Drosophila melanogaster: one gene and its partner. The protein of the gene in region 1 purifies or fractionates together with the protein of each later gene. This does not show direct contact. Each region holds a gene or a part of one and is shown on either strand. Other genes may lie near its edges. The genes, in order: Polr2C and Polr2M.

What was found.
Region 2: the proteins of Polr2C (region 1) and Polr2M purify together in Drosophila melanogaster (affinity purification with western blotting; one study listed by BioGRID). This does not show direct contact.

Annotation. Positions count from the first base shown.
Region 1 is NT_033779.5:13,831,498-13,835,033, reverse strand, and holds Polr2C (RNA polymerase II subunit C), read right to left. Parts: upstream 1,698-3,536; 5' UTR 1,611-1,697; coding exon 783-1,610; 3' UTR 738-782; downstream 1-737. Other genes in the region: mRpS23 (mitochondrial ribosomal protein S23), read left to right, coding at 52-95, 151-312, 374-737; GatC (Glutamyl-tRNA amidotransferase, subunit C), read left to right, coding at 1,963-2,409; PolG2 (DNA polymerase gamma subunit 2), read left to right, coding at 2,406-3,096, 3,151-3,536.
Region 2 is NT_033777.3:19,227,597-19,231,586, reverse strand, and holds Polr2M (RNA polymerase II subunit M), read right to left. Parts: upstream 2,125-3,990; 5' UTR 2,090-2,124; coding exon 1,944-2,089; intron 1,877-1,943; coding exon 1,159-1,876; intron 1,103-1,158; coding exon 860-1,102; 3' UTR 755-859; downstream 1-754. Other genes in the region: unc79 (uncoordinated 79), read left to right, coding at 1-726; CG5250 (uncharacterized protein), read left to right, coding at 2,360-3,295; CG11703 (uncharacterized protein), read left to right, coding at 3,480-3,990.

The DNA of each region.
Region 1 (3,536 bases):
GTAATCGTAATTTGTTAAAAAACACATTTAATTAATTAAAACTTTACCAAAATGGCACAAAGTAGGCTTGAAAAGATTGGCACAATCTTCACCAGGTATTTACCCTCCTACGAAATATCTGTGCAAGCTTTAAACACCCGACTCTTGCAGAGTTCAGGGCCTCCTACGCGGTGGAGCTATGAAAACCGAGGATAAACCCATTTGGTACGATGTGTACGCCGCCTTTCCGCCGAAACTGGAGCCCCGATTCGACAGACCCGCGCCTGAGATTCCAGTGCGCCAGATATTTTATGCCGAGGATGTTGTCCGAGCGTATGTTTTTCACCTGCAGTCGGGCTTATACCAATACTGAACTAATCTTGTACACCAACAGAAAGCTGCATAAAGAAAACAAACCCCAGGAAACGATATCCCTGTTTGACCACAGGCGCAGCACGCAGTCACAGCAATTTGTCCAAATATACCAGGACCTGAAAGGACAAGGAGCCCTGGATGAGCAAAGGATCTACGAGACCGCACTGGATCTTTTGGCGGAGCAGCGCCAGCAGGCCCGCCTGGAGACTACCCCAGAGGAATGCCTGCCAGAGCAGGATTCGGAATCCAAGTCCCAGCTGCTGAGCGACTTCAAGGAGGCTGTGGTGAGCCAGCAAATCACGTCGTCACCAGCACCACCTGCTCCCAAGGGAAAAAAGGAAGCGAACGTGGGCATTAACATAGACAGCTTGTTCAAGGATTAGGCGGAACATCTTTTATAAACTTAAAATAAACTTGTTATATGTAAATCAAACGGCCAATGCATCGTTTTGGGACTCGTGGCTGAGTTGCGTCTGCAGGTTTGACAGCTTGTTCTTCAGCACCTGCACACCCATGACCACAATGTTCTCAGGCTTAAGGGCACCGGCGGATTCGACGTTGAAGAAGAACTTGTTTGGCTTGGCTTCCCAGTTGTAGGGCGCCTCGTACTGGTCGTCCTCCAGTTCGGTGTGCTCGCTCTTTGGCCACTCATCAGGTTTGGGATACAGAGTGTGTCGCATGGAGTTGTCCGGATCATACTCGAAGCACACGCCTGCGGTAGGATTCCACTTGGCGTGCTCCTTGCCAAATCCCTTCTTGGCGTAGGCGCGCAGCTTCAGCTCCTGCCCCTTGCGCAGCTTAATTATGAGGATCTCATCGTTGCTCTCGCCGTACTCGTTGTCCTCCTCACCCTGGTTGCGGGACGTCACCGGCAGGACCTTGGCATTGCTCGACTTGAGATCGGCGGTGGTCACGTGGCGCGTCTGTTCCTCGCTGCACTTTACGTCCAGGGTGAACTCCACGCTGCATTCGGGGCAGAAGTCCAGGCAGATACAGTCACGCGTGTACTGCAGCCGCTCCACGACGTCGTCGGAGATCAGCGGTATCAGACCGATCCGGTGGGCTAAAAACTCATCCGAGAGCACCGTAGAGTTGGCTTCCAGTTGCACCCAGTCGATGGCCAGCGTCGGCGTCTCCGCGATGAACACTCGCCGCAGGCTGTTGGCCACACTCAGTTCCGTGTCCTCCAGGACGAACTTTACGTTGTCGTCCGTCAGCTCGGTTATCTGCACGGACGGCTGGTTGGCGTACGGCATTGCGGTTTTGTTTTGATGAAATTAAAGGGTCACGAAAAAAATAACCCGCTCAGTGAAAAGGAAGCGATGGAAGTGCAGCAATAACAGCCGGCGATAAGTGTGCCGTTATCGATTGTTGTTCTCGTTTCGGATTTATAGCTAGATTTTTAACAATAAGGGCTGGATATATTAAATTGAACAAATGTGATGGAGACATGTTTAATTAAACTAGATCACAATAACAAGAAAATTGCTTTAAATTAAGATAGAATAAACACATAAATCAACATTTTTGCAAGGACAATACTTTTCAGATAACATTTAGCTGATTGTTCCGAAACTCAGTTCCACCTCTGATTTTGTGCTGGTGAGAATGTTGCGTCTGTTCAGCAGCCGTTTTTACTGCAAAATTGCAACAAAATCGAATGAAAAGGCCACTAAATTGGACTTCAAGCAGCTAACGCATCCCACCAAGGTGCCACAGACACCAGTGGACTCGAAGTTTCCCGACACCAGCGCCTCCGAAATCCAGATCGACACGAAAACCATCCAGTTGCTGGAGCGGCTGTCGCTGGTGGATCTGGATAGCGAACGAGCGCTGGCCACGCTAAAGAGCAGCATACAGTTCGCGGACAAGATTGCCCATATCAACACGGAGCACGTGCGTCCACTGTACACGGTCCTGGAGCATCAGCAGCTCCAGTTACGCAACGACCAGGTGACCGAAGGCGATTGCCGGGCGGAGGTGCTCCGGAACGCCAAGGTGACGGACGAGGACTACTTCGTTTCGCCGCCGGGCAACATTCCGCTGGAGCAATGAGTCGCATACAACGATGCTTTAAGTCCCTGGCTTCCGCTGGCTTCTTTCGCACCGTGGAAGACAATAAACTGGAGCTACTGAGTCATGGAAGGGAATACGCCAAACTGTTGCAACAGCATTGGACACGACTACGTCCCTTGGCTGCGCACCTGGGCGCCACGAAAGAACCCATAAATCCAGTCAACATCCAGCGTTTTTCCTTTCCACAAAGCCAGCAATTCCGTAACAATTTCCAAAAACTCGTCAAAGATCATCCTCGAAAGGCCAAATGTCCCACTCTTCTGAAACATCAAAGCACTTGTTCTGGTCCCACTAGCAATTCCCTATTTGGGATAAAGGGTCCTACGCTACATTTAACCACGGACTTCCTAGTGGAACCACATCGCGCACTGGAGCACTTCTACAACATGCAGCGTGAGAGCAAGATCTGGTGGATGCGTCTTTCCTCGAATCCCAGTCGCTACCGCATCGTACCTTGCGATTTGGCTGAGGATCTCAATCCCAACGACTATCAAGCCATCGATATCCGCACGAGCTACGGTGATGCAGGAGAAGTGACCGTGGAGCAACTGAGCCTGGTGAGAATAGTGGACGACAAAGACTTCCGGCTGCCCGATGCGCGAACGGGTGAAATTGTGCAACCGACTGTCATAAGGTCTGTGATAGAGCTGGAAACTACCACCTGCGGTAAGTGGTCATCATAACTATCTTTGAAAATCTTTCTATATTATTATCCTTTAGCTCTGCTTCTGGATGGCTGTGATCATGGCCGGGACTCGCAATCCCTGCTCTTACACCGCGTTCTGGCGCCATATCAATGTGGAATTGCCTGTGTGGAAAGTGATTCCGAGCTATCTGCTGACTTGTCTGATCTTTGTCAGCATCTGAAACATGTTCTCAACCACGCCGGTCTTAGACTTTCTGAAGGGGATGGAATTCGTACGACGAAGAACGCTTCTCATTTAGCAGAGCACTTGCTGGAAACGGATATGCTCGGCATACCTTATACACTTGTTATAAACGAGCAAACGCTAAGAAACGGACTGATGCAGTTGCGCAGCCGGGACACAAGGCTGGCGGAGACCATACACATAAGCGATGTACCGGACTATTTATTAAATATATTT
Region 2 (3,990 bases), on another chromosome or scaffold:
CAGGAGACACATAGCATTCCTACGCCCTTGCCGCAGCAGAATAGTCAGGGCACCGGTCCTGCAGCCAGCGTACATTATCAGCATCAAGGAGTGACCTATTCGCAACCGGTGCCGCAGGAAGCCTCCTGCCACATCGCCGATCACATTCAGGTGATCTTTGCCGGATTTGCGGAGCAGTCCAAGACCTCCGTGCTGCACATGTCCTCGCTATTCCATGCATTCACTCTATGTCAACTGTGGACGGTGTACTTGGAGCAGATGGCCCACAATACCAATAGCAATGCGGAGGGCAGCACGTTAGGCGTTCTTTTTGAGTTCTGGGCAAAGGTGACGCCCTGCATCTTGCAATTGGTGTCCCACGCCAAGCCGACAGTCAATAAGGATCAGCCGCAGACCCCCCTGGACTTTCAGACGCAGAGTGCTAACTCCAAGCTGTCCGAGATGGTCAATCTGCACTTCCTTAGTCTGTTGGAGGCGTTGAAGGACACCAATTCCACAGTGCTGGGCAAACTGCTACCCATGTGGAGCCCCGTACTCTCGTCACAGACGCAACTCTCGGACACTTTGCACGTCCGGTTGCAAAACGTAAGAGACTATGCACCGGACTACGAGGAGCAGCAAACGTACAAGTCGGAGGCTCTGCTCAAATGGCTGCAGCGCTTGCAGTTCAAGATGGGCCAGATCGAGTTGCAAGCCTCCACAGCCACGCAGTTCTATTCAATCTAAGTATTCACAGAGTATACACAGTATAGTTATGTATGCAGTCTTATTTGGTAATTGTTGCCTACGCGAATAAATAGTACACAATGTTTCTTGGAAATCGAATAGCATAGATTCTATCTCATGCTCTGCCCATAGGTTACTCGAACACCGTGTAATGAATGCCACTGGCGGACGATCCTCTGTCTTGAACAGTAGGATCTTGCACTTCATTCGCTTCGCTGGCTTTTTGCCTGCCCTCGATGAGAAAAGTGTCTTGGGGATCACGGTAGTTGCGGAAGGATTCCTTGGTTTTCACAATCGATTCCTCGGGCAGGCCAAGTCGGAGTCGAGAGTCTTTAAGCCTGGCCAGCCGCTGTTCAGCCTGCTGAATGCGAACCTCCTACAAATAAAGTGTATTTAGCATCGAATTATGTAGACCATAAGCAATGAAATTACCTTTACTCTTTGCATGTAATCAATCTGTAACGCAGCCGACTCAGCCAATGGCACCAACTGGGCCTCTTTGTGCTGGATGAGTGGCGGAGTTGCTGCCGTTATTTCCCAATGCTTGCCCTTTTTGCGCACGCGCTCCTTGTCGGGATTGTGGACATTGGACTTGGTGGTTCGGAATGGCATAAACTTTTCCCTAGGAGTATTCACATTTGTTTCCGTCTTATCGATGAGGTAGAGGGCATGCTGATCGGGAGGCAGCTCCCTGCTCAGCTTTGCGGCCACTTGACTGGCGTCGATTTCTACGATCTCGGCAGGAAGGGAACTGGTGTCACTATGTCCTGCCAAGGCGGAATCTGGGGAGTCGGTTGGTTTCTTAAACTCCTCGATATCCGCCAGATCATCTGCCGTAATGAAACTCGTTGGCGGAGGCAAAACCTTGACCTTCTTCTCGTGCATTGTTCCCTGCGCTATAATCCGCAGCGGATCCATCTCCACCTCATCATCGCTGTCCAGAATGTCGTCCACATGGGCGCCCTCGTCCGTGTTTCTGCCATTCCACTCCAGATTGTTGAGAGCAATTTTGCCCTTTTCGACAATGTTGAGACCGCTCAACATTCGAGTCGCTTCCTCTACTTCATCCCGCCTCCTGATCTCGGCCAGTAATTTGTCGTACGACTCCTGCAGACGCTTTCCCTTGTCCGGCAGTTGGTGCAAACGCTTTCTAAATAGAGATAAAATTAAATAAGATAAATTCACAGGGAACTCCACAGGTGGAAACTAAAACTCACTTGAACGACAGAAAGTGAGACTGCCTGTCCTTAATCTCCAGCAGCTGCGGATAGGTAAGGGTCTTCAGGTCCTTGCTGTGCTTCTCCTTCGCCTGGCTGGTGCCCGGGATACGGCTAAGCGGAGCAGGAATCACATTATCGCCCATTTTGGCTCACTTATTTTGCTCATAAGCTTAGTATGACCGTGCTGTGGTTGCGATAAAATACTTAGTGCTGCTACGAAGCAAAGGGCTACAGGAGTTCACTTAACGCCTATCGTTATCGACAAAAAGGCGCGTTATTCAAAAATATACATTAGTGCTTCTGATTTCTGTGCGGAATACATTCCTATATTTCTAATCCACCCCAAGCTAGCTTTCTGAAATCCCTCATATATTTCCATAAGATATAATTAAGTACCCATATATTATTATTCCATGCCTAACGACGCGATAATCTATTCTGGTCCCTACGAATTGGGACGCCTTCGCCGGCGTCGTGATATGCGTGTGGCGGAGTACCTCTACAGGCGTTCCATTCGCACACGCAATGCGGATCCCGAGATGACCGTGTGCCGTTTTATCAAACTGCTGCTCTACTTCATCGGATTCTTTTTCGTTTTGGGCGTATTCACAACCGGATTGGCCCTCGTGATGATTGCGAATCATATATATCCGGATAGGCCGGGATGCAAAAAGTTCCCCGGACTAGCAACCGCACCCGGACACCATGTCGGTGATCAGAAGCAAATTATGTGGAGCCCTAATAACATTAAGGATGTGGCTAACATACAACGCGCGATAATGCGAACGGTGAAACGATACGGTCTCGAAGGCCCGAAGCGCCTGATGGGCTGTAACATAGACGACAGTTGGGGCTATATGTCCGGCACGCCGTGCATTCTAATAAAGATCACCCAGGCATTGGGCTTCCAGGCGGTAACCTACGATGACGCCCTAACGCTGCCCGAGTACGCTCCGGATGAGCTATTCGACTATGTGGTGGGCCTGGGCTCGGAGGAGCGCTTCAACCGCATCTGGGTGTCCTGCCAGGTTATTGAGCCAAGAGTGGACATTCAGTTCGACTACCATCCGGTTCGCTTCTTCGATGCCGAAGAGCTCTTCACCTCCGGCAATGTCTTTCTCAACGAGTCTTCGGACGACGACGGACCTACTTACAAGGAGGATCCCCGCCTCAGGCGCATCATCAGTGTTCGGTTGAGCAACATTCCGATCAACGAGGACATCCAAATCCACTGCAAGGCGTGGGCTAAGAACATACCGCTCCATATGGTAACGGTCAAGATGCTGGTGCGTCTGACGGCACCAGTTCATCCAACCACTCCATTGGTGCTGGACGAGTGGTACGAGTGAGATCAGCTAACTCAGCTGGATTTATTAATGTATTAATAAATACTTAACAAAATAATAAAACTATTTGAGAATTATAGTTTACTCCGCTTTAGATTTCATAGTGAACCGAAGCTACAAGCTTCGAATATTTCCCACTTACGCCCACGTAACCAGTAGCCAAATCAGAACCGGAACGATCGCCACGATGCCGGAGGACGTAATGGTGCCCGCTGGGGACTACAAGCTGGTCAAGCAGATACGCCGGAACCAGGAGACACGTCGCAAGAAGGACCTGCCGTGGTCGAAGAGGATATTCGACATAGACGAGCACAAATTGTTCGGACGCACAGCTCTGGGTTGGATGCGTATCACTGGCTTCTACCTGGTACTATACGCCCTAATCGTGTGCATTGTGGCCTTTTGGTTGGGCATCTTTATGCTGGCCATCATTGATCCGAATAAGCCGCGCTGGCTCAAGGGTCCGCCGGGTCTGTCGATGGTGCCCAACCAGAATCGATCCGTGCTGGCCTACTTTACGCACATCATGAGTGAGGTCAATCCGATTGCGGACCGCATCGACGATTTCCTGAACAAATTGAACGACAATGCCATTGACTTCTTCGCCGATTTCAACCAGGACACTACGTGGGGCTACGCCACCGAAAAGCCGACCGTCTTCATCAAGCTGAACAAGGTTATTGGCTATGTGCCGGAGA